2 linked regions of the Mus musculus genome follow. The protein of the gene in region 1 binds, or shares a complex with, the protein of each later gene. Links are inferred from orthologs where the notes say so. Each region holds a gene or a part of one and is shown in the gene's direction. Other genes may lie near its edges. The genes, in order: Gnai2 and P2ry12.

Region 1 (2,681 bases):
TGTGGAACTCACCTTGAGGTTTCAGGCTAGGGGCTCCGTCCACAGGGGATGGAGCCTGGTACGCAGGTCACAGCAAGTGCGTCATGGTCCCCTGTGGCCCTTCCTGTTATTCTGTTCTATCCCTGCTTCTCTGAGATCATTTCCCTTTGGTCTGGTTTGGCTGCCTGCTGGCCCCAGCACCCCTGCCCCAAGAACAAAAGACCAATAGAAGGGAGACACTTCAAGGCCTGGACCCAGCCTGAAAGCATAGCGGGGATATCGAGTCAGACACTGCGGGAGAGGCATTGATACTAATTAAAGGACTGTGTGATGAAGGGCCCCAGGGATCTCTGCCAAGCAGGTGTCTGTGCTCCCACCTCAGCTCAAATTTTACTGAGTGTTAGGTGAAGGACCCACTGGGCCTGGCAGGCCCCGACATGTTTAGTCCTATGAAGGGACCACACCAGGTTGCTCTGCAGTGGGACCTTAATTACACCGGTTAGCATCTTGATCTCTCCCTAAAGGACTAATTTCTCCCTCCCACTTTTTACCTGTGAGTCCTAACATTCTGGCGTCTCTTGGATGCAGGTCAAGTGAGAACCTGACTGCTAGGGTCATAGAGCTGTAATCCCCCAGTCCCATTGTACAGATGGGAAACATGAGGACTGAGGCCACATTTCTTTCTTTCTTTTTTTTTTTTTAAAGGTTTATTTATTTCCTATCTCGAAAAAAAAAATTTATTTTATGTATATGAGTACACTGTTGTTGTCTTCAGACATACCAGAAGAGGGCGTCAGATCCTATTGCAGATGGTTGTGAGCTACCATGTGGTTGTCAGGAATTGAACTCAGGACCTTTGGAAGAACAGTCAGTGCTCTTAACAACTGAACCATCTCTCCAGCCCCATCCCATGTTTCTTTTTTTGGGGGGGGGGAGCCTTGTGTGTGTGTGTGTGTGTCTTTTTTTTTTGTTTTTTTTTTTTGTTTTGTTTTTTTTTTTTTTTGAGGCAGGTTTTCTCTGTGTAGCCCTGGCTGTCCTGGAACTCACTCTGTAGACCAGGCTGGCCTTGAACTCAGAAATCCACCTGCCTCTGCCTCCCAAGTGCTGGGATTAAAGGTGTGTGTCACCACTGCCCAGCTGAGCCCATGTTTCTTAAAGAAGCAAGGATAGCAGGCACAGCAGTGCACACCTGTAATCGCAGTGCTTGGGGCTGAGGCAGGAGAATTATAGGTTTGAGATAAGATTAGACTACATAAACCAGACCCTGCCTGGAGTAGAGGGAAGGGAGAAGGGAAGGAAGAAGAAGGGTTTTGTCTGTTCAGGGTCCAGGTCAGGATGCTGCTTTTGACCTGTCTGATTTCCTGCCTCCTTGCAGCTACCTGAATGATCTGGAGCGCATTGCACAGAGTGACTACATCCCTACACAGCAGGATGTGCTGCGGACCCGTGTGAAGACCACGGGCATCGTGGAAACACACTTCACCTTCAAGGACTTACACTTCAAGTGAGTGTGTGTGTGTGTGTGTGTGTGTGTGTGTGTGTGTGTGTGTGTGTGTACAGGGTTAAGGGCCATAGCTGCTAGCTGCTGGGGTAGCCCAGTCCTGGGATTGTGTTGGGAAGGCATGTCCTCAAGGTCTGTCACCTAGGCATCAGTAGTGACCTACTAATAGCTTCTCCTGCCTGTCCCATGTGGCTCTAGCCTGTCCCTCTGACCAGACTCAAAACCAGGATTGTGGTAAGGGACGTTCCATGACTACATGGTGGCACACAAGAAGGACCTGTCCTGCCTTGGCCAGGTCTCTGTCCCTAGCCAGCTGGCCTGTGAAGTGCAAGGACACCCCCCCACCCCCCCGCGGGGCTCTGCTCCCTGGATTAAGTTGACTCGATGTCCACAGGATGTTTGATGTGGGTGGTCAGCGGTCTGAGCGCAAGAAGTGGATCCACTGCTTTGAGGGCGTCACGGCCATCATCTTCTGTGTCGCCTTGAGCGCTTATGACTTGGTGCTGGCTGAGGATGAGGAGATGGTGAGAGTCCAGGAGCACTGGTGGTGGCGGGTGGGGGCTGAGCCTGGTAGGCAGCGACGGGGGTGGGGGGTGGTGTCAGTACTGACTTCACTTCCTTCTCCTTAGAACCGCATGCATGAGAGCATGAAGCTGTTTGACAGCATCTGCAACAACAAGTGGTTCACAGACACCTCCATCATCCTCTTCCTCAACAAGAAGGACCTGTTTGAAGAAAAGATCACACAGAGCTCCCTGACCATCTGTTTCCCTGAGTACACGGGTACTCTTTGAAGACTAGCTCATGGGGGTGTGGGGTGGCCATCCCAATAGACACCACTGGGGCTCTGGTGGCCCATGGATGCCCCAATCTGGACAGAAGGAAAAACACAGGACCTGTGGGACCTCACTCAGGAATGCACTGTGTCTACACACAAAAGGCTTGTTACCACCCATGGGCCTCTACCGTTGAGCATACGTACATAGGAAACATCCTTCATACAGCACACGCACTTACACATGACCGTGCTGTGCACATTACATGCTTGTCTGTTGTGGGCACAGAGTTCTGCTGTACATGCACATACACAAGTCTTCATTCGTCTTCCTTAGGGGCCAACAAGTACGACGAGGCAGCCAGCTACATCCAGAGCAAGTTTGAGGATCTAAATAAGCGCAAAGACACCAAGGAGATCTACACG
Region 2 (3,922 bases), on another chromosome or scaffold:
GTCTGCCATGTGATGAAATCGTTCTCCTGAGTAGAACTCACATCTAAATGGCTCCTGGATGCCTTCTGAAAGAAGCCCAAGTCACCCTTATTGTGACTTCTGGTTTTCCCCTCCCATGGCCACACTGCTATGGCATTTGAGTTAACTCTGAATTCTGGTGGCATGGTTTTTCCTCTTAACAGTCACCTTTCTTGCCTTTCCTTAAACTTTCCCCACCTGTCCTATACTTTTCTGTATACTTAGTCCGTCAGGATGGTCTGTGTGTCCACTATTGTAGGACCCCTGTTCTGACTACCTCTGCCTGTGTGACTTAAACCGTTCCCCGTTGGTGCCATCATGACCTGACCTGCACGTCCCGTTGCATGTAAAAGTGCATCTACTTCCCCCTAAGGGCAGGGATTCCCTCCACCATCTCCATTGCTGCAGTGCCAATGGCTACTCAGGCTGGCCTTTCTGTTATTTTAAAGAACCTTCCAAAGCGTTGTATAGAAAGCAAATGCCCATCTAATACTGCTTCTTAGAGACTACGTAGTGTTGTAACACAAGTTTTACTAAATACTGCTTACTCAGCAAATGAAAATTCTTATCAGCACACATTTTCTTATATAAACATAGCTTGTTTCCTATCCTGATGTAAAATAATAATTTTATTTTACTTTTATTTCTTATGCTAAGCTGTTACTTAAGTTTTTGGTAGATTCTAGAAATGCCCTGAAGTCCAGATAAGCATTTTAATTGGGAGATCTTTGAAGATAATGGCTTTTTTCTTTTTCTTTTTGCAATGCCAATAGCTATTGTGCTTTGATGACAAAAATTATACCACTGAAAATTAAGAAAAGTCACTTGGCTTCTATAACTAGATATATTTATATATGTGGGAAAAAACATTTACTCTTGCCTGTTTTTTATCAATAGAGTCAAATCCAGCAATTTTGTTTCCCTTTGTATCGATCAAAGAACCCATGGGTTCACACGTGATGACATCGCAGGTCTGCTTTGGCAAAGGCAGCAACTGTCGAACTTTGTCAATGCTTTCTGACCTCTTGTCTCCTAGTTCTTTCTAGAAGAAAGAGGGGGGAAAAATGTAAAAGCAAGAGAGAAGTGAGGCAAAAATTCTGACTTTACAATGAAGCAAAAGCTAACAAGAAGGAAGTTCCCCAGTGACACATTTCCTTTTTTTTAGGGCTAGTATGTCTTTAGTCCTTAGCGCAGTCTATGGAACAGCTGCAAATTGGACTGGTGAAATGTTTCATTTCTTCTATTCAAGTAGAAAATCAGGGTGCACACAAAGGCAGTCTTGTTCTCCATGACAAATCAGAGTGCTGAAATGACAAAACGCCAGTGTCATTTGCTGTCACACAGCAGGAGCTGCCGCACGGACACTTTCCCGTATCCAGGGTCACAGTGCAAGGTAACCATCAGCTTTTTTACTGTAACGTCTTCAGATTATGTATTTGCAATGTCTATTTGCCGTTCATGTCCAGGACTGTTAGTGGATTTACAAATTCAATGCAGAGCTCATTTTTTTTTTTCCCACTTGCATGTGTAAATCCAAGCATGGGTTCAAAGGAAATCTGACACTGGAGTTTTGGTTAGATATCTGATAATGCATTTTTAAAATCCTTAAAAATTAAAACACATTTTATTTGAGCACACCTTTTCAGAGAAAAAAATCGTTCAAATATCATGCTTGTAATTTTGAAGGACTGACAGAGTAGGTAAGATAACAAATAACCACAATCTGCTGAATCAGCTACACATGTAGATTAATGAGGAGGAAATTAAGACAATAATCCATAAACAACATGATTTCAGAGTAGAGGCTGATCACAAGCTTACTTTCAGTTTCTTTACTAAGTTCATGTATGCACGTTTGTTCTCTTCTGATCCCCCGGGGGAAGCACTTGATAGGTCAGAAGCCAGGGTTCCATTGATTAAAACACCCAGCATGTCAAGAACCGTTGTGAATAATTCACTGAGAAGAAAGAAAACCCCATTTTATTCTCACAAACAAAACCCGGACACACAGAATTGCCTAAGCATTTCTACTGAAAGTGCTAAGTTTTTAATGACAGCTAAATCAGTAAGTGGCAGAATTTCCTGTCAGTAGACAAAAGCTTGTACCATGCATGCATGCAGGGGAAAAAAAAAGGTATAAAATGATAAAAAACAAAATAAAACAAAACAAAAACCCAACATACTTGTTAGTGTGCATGTCAACAGTTCCCGAAGTAATTATCTGGAGGAGTAGGAGGGCCCAGTCGGTGGTCCCCTGCGTGCTCCGCTGTACCGTGTCAAACATTCCTCCTACCTAGCATACAAAATATGATAAAGATTTTGTATTGCTACCCCTATTACCATATGTGCCCAAATGTTGATTTGTTAAACCAGAAGTGATGTTAAGAACTGGTTCTTGCTAGCCACACTATGGATTATCCTACAACTGTCTCTTCTAGCTATGTGGTTATCACTGTTTATGGTTCTTTCCACAGAGGCTAGGCATTCAAAACTTAACAGAAAGTGTAACACTTGAATGTGGGCAGTCACAAAATTACCTTTCTCTTCTCATCAGTCTCTCATGGTACTTAGTTTTAGACATAACTGCAGTTAAACCTGAATAGCATCAAAACTCTGTCTCATCACCTGCAATTGTGTGATATTCGATTATTATTGCATCTGAGCCTGCCACTATAATATCCCTGGAGATGCCCTTTAACGTGGAAGGAATGAGGAGGAGAAGGTATTGCCACAGGTCTGCCAGCTCCTGGGAGGAGGTCAGAGTGCTGAAGGTGAGGTGAACAACTGCCCAGGGAGGTCAGATTGCCAAAAGCCAGAAAAGCAATTGCCCAGGGCACGTTCAGGATTTGTCAAGAGGAAATTTAAGGGAATACAAAACATGCTGAAACTTTCAGATTTCTGTAAAATATTCTTGTGAGATTTGTCTTTTTTTTTTCTGATCAATTTAACAGAATGTCTCTGAGAAAAATTGAGAGTTGACAGATTTCTGTGGTTGTAAAATAGAACACAGTGAAAGCCAACACTCCTATTAAAGGTTTGTCGGACCTCCCCTTAGCACTGCACAGGAGGAGGAGGAGAGATCTGCCAGATGGAGCCTCTACTCCCTGGTGGAAAACACAAATAGGTGCTTACAACTCTACTGTCTAGAATTCAACCCAGACAGGAAGGACGGCAGCTAAGGAAACAGAAGGTTTAAGAGAAAAGGAAGTAGGTACAGAGTGAGAAAGAGGAAGGCTTCCCTCTGTCATGCAGATTCTGTCCACAGATGTTGAAAGCTGGTATTACTTTCACACAGAGAGAGGTGTGACAGAAATGGGTCTGCCACATCCTTACCAGATTCAGGCGGAGCTGTAGGGCCTCATGCATCATCTGGCGGGCTTTCGTATCATCTTGGTATCTTTCTTCCCTCCAGTTACTTAAAATCTAAGATTGGGAAAAAACAAAGAGTAACAACAGAAATCCCTTTGTTCTTTGCTATGACGACTTTTACAGGTTTAAAATGAAGCTCTACAGTAACAGCTAACACTTCTTAGCTTAAACATTAACAAAGTTATTTTTTTTTTTTACTCTTCCTCTTCTTCCAGACAGACAAAATCCCAGTTATTTTATAATTTCCTGGGTAGCTGGGAGAAGAAAGTCTTACACACACACACACACACACACACACACACACACACGGAAAAAGGCCACACAGAAATGCCTATGGCAAGGACAAAGGGAGGCAAGGTGAACTGAGACTCGCAGAAAGGCAGAGCAGGTCTGCTTAACATCTGACATGGATCCTTCCAGGCAACAAAAGAAGGAAGTGCTCAGGCACCTAAACCAGGACACTGGCCCAGCCCAGAGCGGCTTGAAGGAAAGGATAAACCCACTGGAAGAGACAGCAAATGCCCAATCAGGAGTG

What was found.
Region 2: the proteins of Gnai2 (region 1) and P2ry12 are in contact, whole or in part, in a cryo-EM structure (PDB 7XXI), measured with the Homo sapiens proteins. The link is inferred for Mus musculus from reciprocal best matches to the Homo sapiens genes GNAI2 and P2RY12. Residues at the interface, in NP_002061.1 of Homo sapiens: Arg24, Glu28, Ala31, Arg32, Leu195, Glu319, Ile320, Tyr321, Phe335, Phe337, Asp338, Ala339, Thr341, Asp342, Ile344, Ile345, Lys346, Asn348, Leu349, Lys350, Asp351, Cys352, Gly353, Leu354, Phe355; in NP_073625.1 of Homo sapiens: Phe59, Asp121, Arg122, Lys125, Thr126, Pro129, Phe130, Thr132, Asn134, Pro135, Ile212, Leu216, Ser219, Tyr220, Arg222, Thr223, Arg224, Val234, Lys237, Ile241, Leu301, Cys302, Lys303.

Annotation. Positions count from the first base shown.
Region 1 is NC_000075.6:107,615,737-107,618,417, reverse strand, and holds part of Gnai2 (guanine nucleotide-binding protein G(i) subunit alpha-2), read left to right. Parts: intron 1-1,354; coding exon 1,355-1,483; intron 1,484-1,874; coding exon 1,875-2,004; intron 2,005-2,109; coding exon 2,110-2,263; intron 2,264-2,592; coding exon 2,593-2,681. UniProt on the Homo sapiens protein: Guanine nucleotide-binding proteins (G proteins) are involved as modulators or transducers in various transmembrane signaling systems.
Region 2 is NC_000069.6:59,260,263-59,264,184, reverse strand, and holds the start of P2ry12 (P2Y purinoceptor 12), read left to right. Parts: upstream 1-1,199; 5' UTR 1,200-1,411; intron 1,412-1,839; coding exon of another isoform or gene 1,840-1,975; intron 1,976-2,201; coding exon of another isoform or gene 2,202-2,311; intron 2,312-3,351; coding exon of another isoform or gene 3,352-3,441; intron 3,442-3,922. Other genes in the region: Med12l (mediator of RNA polymerase II transcription subunit 12-like protein), read right to left, coding at 899-1,060, 1,840-1,975, 2,202-2,311, 3,352-3,441. UniProt on the Homo sapiens protein: Receptor for ADP and ATP coupled to G-proteins that inhibit the adenylyl cyclase second messenger system. Not activated by UDP and UTP. Required for normal platelet aggregation and blood coagulation.